Macaca fascicularis: one gene and its partner. The main gene of each other region encodes a partner of the protein of the gene in region 2 in a complex. Links are inferred from orthologs where the notes say so. Each region holds a gene or a part of one and is shown on either strand. Other genes may lie near its edges. The genes, in order: TES and ACTL7A.

The links.
Region 1: the proteins of ACTL7A (region 2) and TES are in contact, whole or in part, in a crystal structure (PDB 2XQN), measured with the Homo sapiens proteins. The link is inferred for Macaca fascicularis from reciprocal best matches to the Homo sapiens genes ACTL7A and TES. Residues at the interface, in NP_006678.1 of Homo sapiens: Leu28, Gln29, Thr30, Ala31, Ser32, Leu33, Arg34, Asp35, Gly36, Pro37, Ala38, Lys39, Arg40, Ala41, Val42, Trp43, Val44, Arg45, His46; in NP_056456.1 of Homo sapiens: Asn311, Glu312, Tyr313, Thr314, Gln315, Ala316, Glu317, Leu323, Phe326, Leu335, Ala336, Gly337, Glu338, Ile339, Tyr340, Val341, Tyr353, Pro370, Glu371, Val372, Gln373, Arg374, Val375, Thr376, Tyr377, Ala384, Phe389, Leu398, Ile399, Gly400.

Annotation. Positions count from the first base shown.
Region 1 is NC_088377.1:157,676,788-157,681,311, reverse strand, and holds the start of TES (testin), read right to left. Parts: upstream 2,900-4,524; 5' UTR 2,730-2,899; coding exon 2,703-2,729; intron 1-2,702. UniProt on the Homo sapiens protein: Scaffold protein that may play a role in cell adhesion, cell spreading and in the reorganization of the actin cytoskeleton. Plays a role in the regulation of cell proliferation. May act as a tumor suppressor. Inhibits tumor cell growth.
Region 2 is NC_088389.1:49,265,918-49,270,413, forward strand, and holds the start of ACTL7A (actin-like protein 7A), read right to left. Parts: upstream 3,001-4,496; 5' UTR 122-3,000; coding exon 1-121. UniProt on the Homo sapiens protein: Essential for normal spermatogenesis and male fertility. Required for normal sperm head morphology, acroplaxome formation, acrosome attachment, and acrosome granule stability.

The DNA of each region.
Region 1 (4,524 bases), on a different chromosome or scaffold from region 2:
AATCAACAATGTAAAAGTTTTGGAAGGAAAAAAATGTCACACATCTTAAAACAGAAGTCATATTAGTTGTCTTTAAATGGTTGTGTCTTTGTTCCAACTTTTAATCTGCCTTTTCTCAAGGTACATTCAAACTATTAATTTTCTTGTATAACTGAGTCAAAAAGAAAGGCGACTTGAAAACTAGGTACCAAAATAGGGTGAGAAGACTGTGCTGGTAAATCAGATAGTCTTGTAATATTTCCTTCTTTGGATGTGTTAGAAAACAATTGCTAAAAGGAACGTAAATTTCTTTTTGAGAGTATGGCCAAGATTGTGAAATACATTCCTGAGATTTCCAAACTTTTGTACTGGGGAACTTTTTGTTAGAATATCAAATCTATTAAGGGACCCACACAAACTGGAGTCAAATAGGACATCTTTGCAGTTTTTTAATAGCTTCCAATTTACCAGGTGAGGATTCTGTTCTAAGAATCATCAGTGAAGACAACGTAGTGAAACAGGGATTTGCTGTATCATGAGATTCTCTCTAAAACCTTTAATTTACGGAAATCTTTTTGGGGTGGTAGAGGCAGAGAGGAGGAGAATTAGAGGAAGTTAAGATTCTTGGTTGAAAACATAACTTTTAAAGGTAAAGTGGGGGATAAAGGAGGAAAACTATACCATATGTCAAGGGCATTATTTATCATAATCCACATTTTCAAACTCTAAGGAAATTGTTTATAAACAACGTCTGCATTTTTCCTTTGCAAGCACATACAATTTTTAACTTTGAACTTTTTTCCCTCAGAATTACTCCTTGTCTCAAAAAGCTTCAAAAATATCTTTGATTTTTCTTCCCCTATTAAACGGACTTTGTTTTTTAAAGCATTTTTTAGCTTCACAGCAAAATTGAGCAGAAAATTCGAAGTTCCTATGTACCTCCCCCGTGCCTCCCCATCTCCAAGCAGCCTCCCGGACTACCAACATCCCGTTATCAGTGCTGTACATTTGTCACAAGTGATGAAACACATTGACACATCATTATCCCCAACATACATAGTTTACATTAGGGTTTACTCTCGGTGTTCTACATTCTATGGATTTTAATGTATAATTACATGTATCCGCCATTTTATAGTATCATACAGAATAGGGTCATTACCCTAAAAATCCTGTGCTTCACCTGTTCTTCCTGGCCAACCCAAAATATGTTTACTTTGACAAAGTTGTCTTCAAATAAATACTTAAAAGCAAGGACAAGACCCCTCAAGTTTTAGACAAGTACTAAATTAAGTAGCTCTTACCCACTTGAAAACTAAATGAATGTAGTATTCATCAACAGAAAGCTAAGCGAGAAAAATGCTTTCCCCGCTTTTCCCCCATGACAAGCAAGATTAACCAAAAATATCAGTTACTTAAAAGAAAAAAAGAAAGAAACCAAATGGAAAGAGAATAGAATGCAATCACGCTACTCTCAACAATTTATGTTTTTCTGTTCCTGGATACCTTTTTGAGTGCTTGCGAATTTCAGTCCTAAGGAATGAAAAAAACTGTTTTCTCATTTCAAGTTTTTATTGGTCAACAGCTTCCTAACCGAAAACTCTGCAGTCCTAACACAATACTTTCTATCCATTTTCAAAAATCCAATTCTGGGCATAAAATAGAATTAATGCTCAAGTCAGAAACTTTGTGTTTAGAAGATAAAATAAGAATATTAGGAACCATGAGTAAGAGAAAAAACAAACTTTTATTTTTCCCTTCCTCTCTCTGCAAAACTTCCCTATCCGATAAGGGAGAGCTAGCTTAAATTTACCACAAAGTAAAATATGAGCAAATCCCCTGGAACGCGGAGAACTTTCGCACAGGGCAATTCACTCGAATGTGACATCAGCATTCCTTCTGAGTCACAGTCTGGTCCCCACCCTTTTCTCCCAGGCGACACCAGGCTCCGCATAACCCGGGAGTGGCTCAGGTAAGGCCATCGGTTCCAATGCCTGCGAGGCAGCAGCCAGGCTGGAAATGTCTCCCTGCGCTGAGACGCTGGTGACAACCGCCCTTTGGGACTCCCTGCCAAACAGGGAGAATGCGCGCTTTGACAGATAATTCCCTAAGAGGGAGGCAGTGCTTCGGTAGACAAGTAATGAATGACCAAAAAAAAAAAAAAAAAAATTCACATTAGAAGTTATCACCAGCACGGGTGCGAAGGCAGTGCATTAAATCAACACTCATTTTATAGGGCCCCAGGCAGCCCAGCTGGAAGGGAGGAGGTCAGAGCTGTCAAAGCACAGCAGAGCCCCAAACCACAAAGGCTTAATGAAGTTGAACTTCCTGAGCCAGGAAGTGTCACGGTCTCGCCCGCACTCGCCCTAAGCTCGTCCTTTTGAGGAGGCACAGGCAGAGCTGAAACATCTTAAGTAAAGTTTCCAACACCTCCAACCGCTGGGACTCCGTAAGACGGGAGAGAAGAGCCCCGCGCCCGCCCTCGCTCGCGCTTCCAATTTTGTCGCTCTCGAGTTTGGGGAGCTGGCGGGGCCGGCGGGCACCTACTCTACCCAGGGGGCCGGATCTCTGGGCCCGGGACACCGCAGACCCAGAGCCGGGCTCACGCCAGGCGGCCCGCAAGCCCCACCCGCCTCGGCACCTCCGGCCGCCGCGCACCGCTCGACCCGCGCAGGTGAAGCAGCCGCTGCCCGCCACGAGCGCCCCCCTGAGCACCCCCCTACCTTCTTCACTTTGTTTTCCAGGTCCATGTTTATGCGTCCTATGGGTCCCCTCCTCCTCCAGTCCGGGATCCCACGGCCGGGCTCAGCTGGCCTCCGGCTCCGCTGCGGACACGGGGAACCTGTGGAACTCCCACGCCGCCGCCCAGCAGCCACTAGACCGGCGCCGTCGAACTTCCGCCGCCCAGTCCGCCGCAGCCGGCCTGCGGCAGGGACCCGGGAACAAAGAGGGCCGGGCAGCCAATGGCAGCCGGGCAGCCCCGGGCCGCCGCCAATCACCGAGCGCCGCACGCACCTTCGCGGCTCGAGCTCGGCGCTGGCAAGGTGAAGGGCGGGGCCGCGTCCGGGGCGGCGCCCTGCGGGGCAAGCTCGGGGACCCTGACCTGGTCCCCGGAGGATGCTCTGGGCGTCCACGGGCCGCTTCTAAAGAGCTGGGATCCAGCCTCCCTCTAGCTGAAGATAGAGCAGAACTTTTTTCATTTTGGCAATTTGTACCTGTGTTTGCCCAGGACTTTTTATCTGGGTCAAGGGGAATAGGTATCCCAACTTCTCAGTTTATTTTCAAACTAACTTCTCAGTTTATTTTCAGAGCAAAGAGAGAAAAAATAAAAGAAAAAGAGAAAGAGAGAGATTGTAGGGATCGTTAGGGATTCCTGTGATGGACCTTGGGCACTAAATTCACTATTGCGTTGTGGAGATGCCCTTTCCTCGATTGCTTTTCTCCAAAATCCCAAATACTGTCAAGAAACCGCATCTTACATCCCTAACGTCAGTGAATATTCTTAGATTGTTTCCTGAGCATTGGGTTGTTCAAAAGTAAAGATGATGTGAATCACTTCAGAAACAGGTGTCATTCCTTTGGAAGTAGAGGGTTGCCCTTTCTGCTGTGTGAAATGGTGCTAGGCCTATCGCGTGCTCAGGCTTTGATGACGCAGAGTCATCACATTGGTGCACCAGAGCTGAACTCATTTCATGCCCTAATTCAGGAGCAATTGCATCTAATACCTTCAGATTGGTGGGTCCGGAAGGGAGCCTAAGATTACTTAGTCTAGCTTCCTCATTTTGCTGGGAACTGAGGACTCCAGAGGTGCAGGGACCTGCCTAATGTCTTAGCCTGTTGGGGACAGAGGCATTGCTCATGAATCTAAATAACTTCTCAAAGATGTTTGGGGCTGGAAGCAGAGCATGTTGACTAAGGAAAAAGAGCGGTCAATTTTCTTCAATTTGTGGTTATGGCAAAAAATAACATTGCCCAGACAGCAGGTGACATAATTTGACACCTACTTTTAAAAATAACAAAACAATATAAAACAAACAAACAAAAATTCCCCAGTAATGCAGATATTCAGGTCCAGATGTATGTCTACCTTGCCTCTAGAAATTTGGTAGCTAAAAATATCCAAAATTCATTTTAGCCAATACTTGCAACTCTGCTTACTTGATTATTTGTTAACACAGAGCATTGATTTATAATGTGCATGTTTCCTTTATCCTATTAAGAATTAACACTGAAATTACCAAAATGAGTTACACATTTTTCTTTTAATTGATGTATAACTTTTCTGTATCATTTTCCCAAATCACCTTGAAAGTTGTGGGCCCCTGCAAAGTTTGCCCTCTGTAAGTGTACAGGAACATGAGGTCTAGCTATGACAAGACAATTTTGTTTCTTTCAGAGAGCTTAACAGATGGAAAATGTCCAGTAAAGCAATTTAAATAAGGCATCAAACAAATGTTGTAACATAAATTTTGGACCCTTATTTGATGAGGTTGCAGAGATGACACTAAGAAAACCATCTGGAAACATTTTTTTTTAAACTGTCAA
Region 2 (4,496 bases):
CCCGCTTTGCCGGACCATCCCTTAAAGAGGCAGTCTGGAGGGCCTGTGTCTGCAGGGGGGCCTGGTTACCCACCTTCTTGGCGGGCCCATCCCCCATGATTGCTGCCGGTGGAGCCCACATGTTGTCAAGAGCCGCACCACTCTTAGAAAGTTCTCAATCCCACTGGATTCAAGGCCTGAAAGGCCTACATCAGAGGATACCCTGAGAATTTTCCCAACAATGACATCACTAATTATGATGTAATCTGGTGACCTGGGCTTTCTAGATATTGCAAACCCTTATCCTGTGTTAGGGTACATTTGGGATATTGTTTTTGAAATGGCTCCCCTTTTCCTAAATTTTGTAACAAGACTGATTTATTCAATTAATTAATATTTCTTGAGTGTCTGCTATATACAAGGCAGCTGGGAATTCAGTGGTGAAAAAAAACCAGACAAAATCCCTTATTCTAGTTGGTGGGGGGTGGGGGTGACAGACAATAACCAAAATGAGCATTAAGAGCAAAAGCAGGGTGGCAGTGCTAGGGTGGCCTTGGCAGAGCTTCCTGAGAGGGTGACATCTGAATGAAGGACCTGCAGGAGGTGAGGGAGAGAGCCACGTGTTTGTCAGGGGAACAGCAGGTGCGGGGGACTGGAGGCAGATGTGTGAAGAGTTAGATCAGGGGTCAGCAGGCTGCAGTCCAGTCCAGTCCCCAGCTTGTTGGATTGGAATACAGCCGTGCTCATTCATGTTTGTATCGTCCATGGCTGCCTTTGCAGCACAGCAGTAGAGCTGAGTCACGGCTTTGAAGACTGTGTTGCCCAAAAAGCTGAATGAAAGTAAGTATTGACCGGCCCTTAAAAAGTTTGCTGACCTCTTGAGTTAGAGGAGGAACAGGAAGACAAATGTGGCTGGCATGGAAGGAGTAAGGAAAATTAGATGAGATGGGGTGGGGGAAGGCGAGCAGCTCACAGTAGGCCTCATAGGCCAATGCGAGGATCATGCCTAAGGTCAGAAAGCACTAGAGGATTTGGTGCAGAGCACCGACACCATCTGATTTAGATGTTAGCGGGATCCTTTGCTGCTATGGTGACTATGTCAAGGGCACTAAGGGTGACACTTAGAACAACCTTAAGAGGAATTATTTTTGGATATACATTTGTACACTTACTGTGCCTTCATCAGGGTCATTGGCTAGGCAGTGAAATTAGACCCTAAAAAATCCCACTGACAACACTGAGGCTTGTAGGTGCGTAGCTCATCCAAGGATATCCAACCAGGAGTAGCCAAGCTCTCCCGACTGTGGCTTCCTCCCCAGGATGTGCTGGGACACAGCTTGATGGGACCTAGTATGCATCTTTTGGGCTGCTTGGCCACCATCTTGCATGCCATTTCTGAAGCTGGACACATTGGTGTGGATGCCTGCCACACTCAGGGCAGAATCCAGCCTTATGTGATGCCATACCTTGAACCTGATCCCAGCCCTTCATAAAAGGCAGTCACCACAATAATGGGCTTTCTCCTTTAGAGAGGCTATGGGTCCTTCTTTCAGTTCCTTTGGGGTATGAGAGAAGAAAAGGACCAAGTCCAGTCTCATGAGGTTTGTGACTATCTGATGGGGGCAGCAAGGTGTCATCCCAGGGACAAAATCTCAGTTTCTTGCTTCATTGGTTAGTGGGTGAGATCATGGCATGGAATTTTGAAGGAAAAATAGGAAAGTACTTTCGATACCTGGCTGCCTGAAAAACAGTTTAATTGCCTCTGCTGTTCAGGGATTTGCATGGACAACTCAGATTGTTTGACTTTATTTCAAAAGTTCTGTATATGGTAACCAAAGGCATATGTAATTTAAAACCCTCCATTTTTTTTCTCCCCAAACCCTACTTGAATTTTGAGAAATCTATAGCTGCTTGGTACCTTTTCACTAATCTGGACTCCTAGAAGAGCCTGTATTAGCTTCCTGTTTCTGCTGTAACAAATTACCGTGGATGTAGTGGCTTAAAGCAACTCACAGTTATTATCTTACTGTTTTGGAGGTCGGAAGTTCGTAATTCTTCTTAGTGGACTACAATTAAGGTTCTTTTAGGGCTGTATTCCTTCTGGAGGTGTAGGAGACAGTACTTCTTCTTGCCTTCTCCAGCTCCTAGAGGCCACCTGTGTTCCTTGGCTCATGTCCCTTCCTCCATCTTAAAAGACTTAGAGTCTCAGACTACAGCTATCATTGTCACATCTGTTTCTCTGCCCTTGGCCCTCCTGTATCCCCCATATAAGGACCCTTGTGATTACATTGGCCCCACCCAGGCCATCCAAAATACTCTCCCCATCTCAGATTCCTTCATTTACTCCCATCCACGGAATCCCTTTTGGCATGAAAGTTAATATACTCACAGGTCCCAGGGATTAAGATGTGGACACCTTTGGAGGACCCTTTCACCTGTCCTGTGCCTCCCTCTTCACTAATACACTCCAAGCCTGACATGCTCTGACTCGTTTGCTCTTCCTGGGCTGCCCAGGCTTGCCCATCTATCATCTGTCATTGCCCTTTCTGCATTTGTGTGTGGAAGAGGTGATGCCTTAGTGTAAGGCAGTTATTCTGTCTAGTCTGTAAGGTCCTTGAGCATAGGGATTCCCCTCACATTCTCTGAGCAAAAGCCAACGAAACACTTGCCCTCCTTTTCTTCACCTCTCAGTTTCACATGTTGGGTACCCCCAATCAAAACCCTGTTCCCCCTAAGCTTCCTGTTACTCTCTGTGCCTCTTCTCTCCCTCTGTGGGTCAGCACACGGTTAGCGGTAATGATGGAAGAATGCAGAGACTGTTGACACCGTGCTCCAAACCTCTACTGCCTAGCACACAGCCCCCCACAACTGTCATCAGCTAAGGTCTGTGTGGGCTCCCTGGGGTCCCTAGTGAGGTCCCTCTAGGGAGAGGCACCCTATATTGCTCAAAATATGTTGGGCCATATTTTCTAATGGGATCACACATACTTTTAGTCCTCTGGCTCAAGACCAAAAAAACCAAAAAAACCATGGGATGACTCCTTTTTGAAAGCAACCCTGGGGTCTTTTTTTTTTTTTTTTTTTTTTTTGAGACAGAGTCTCGCTCTGTTGCCCAGACTGGAGTGCAGTGATGGGGTCTTGGCTCACTGCAAGCTCCGCCTCCTGGGTTCATGCCATTCTCCTGCCTCAGCCTCCCGAGTAGCTGGGACTACAGGCGCCCACCACCACGCCTGGCTAATTTTTTATATTTTTAGTAGAGACGGGGTTTCACCGTGTTAGCCAGGATGGTCTCGATCTCCTGACCTTGTGATCTGCCCGCCTCGGCCTCCCAAAGTGCTGCGATTACAGGTGTGAGCCACCGCGCCTGGCCAACCCTGGGGTTCTCTTCTATAGTGGAGGGAGAGAACATGGAAAGATGAGATTAAAGAACACACTTATCCCTGAGGTGCATCCTGGCTCCTGGCTTCAATTTTTGAGACACTACCCGCCCTTGACCTTTGGAGGAGAGGTGAGCCAGGCCCCTGGAAGTTTAGCAGCTATAGGAGGGAAAAAATGAAAATCTGGTGTGACATTTCTTCTCATGAATCACCTGTAGTTTTTCTTAAAAATTACTGGAGTCCACCACAGCCTTTCCAACTCTTGAATATGCTGGAGAACCCCTGAGTCAGGAGCTCTCAACAAAGAAGATCCTTGCCAAACAGGCACTTTGAGCTGCTTTCTCACAGCTCAGACCCCAGTGTGGACACTCAGGTCCCAAGACTGTGCCCATTTCCCTGAGGTGGAAGGGAGAGGAGCTGTCTTCAGGGGGAGATGAGCTACTGAGCAGGCAAATCTGGATCCGAATGCTTCCCCTTCCACGTGCTCCAGCCCAGTGTCCCACAGCCTAGTGGCCTTTGGGCATCTCTAAGTCAGCATGCCCTAGTTGGAGCTCATTCTCTCCCCGCACATGCCTTCCCTTCCTCCCCCTGCATTCCATGTGTTTGTTTGTGGTGCCACCATCCACTTAGCAGCTCAAGGCAGAAACCTGGAGGCCATGGATATGGGTCAAATTGGTGAGGGGACATAGCAATATGGTAATCACATTCAAACGACATTTCAAGTAGTTTATACAAAGTCATACAGATTATAAATAATAAATCTGTGTTTGAACCCAGGTCTCTGGATTCCAGTTCCTTGATCTTCCCTCTGCTCTGTACTGTCTTTCCGTAAGGAGTGGATAAAAAGTAGTCTCTGGCAGTCCATGAGCACTGCCTTTAAATAGCCTAAGAGTTGTCGTGGAAGAATTTGCTTGCTCTGTAGAACTTCAAGAGTAGACGCAAGACCAATTAATGGCTTCAGAGAGGTACACATGCCAATCCAGTGTGACAAAACATTTATCACTCATGGCTGGCCAAAACGGGGTAAGCTGTCCATGTCAGACTGCTGGATGGGATGTTCTAGAGGAAACTGAAGGGTCCAATCCTGAGCTTCTGTGATTTCATGATCCCACCACAGGGCATTTCTGGGTCATGATGTTC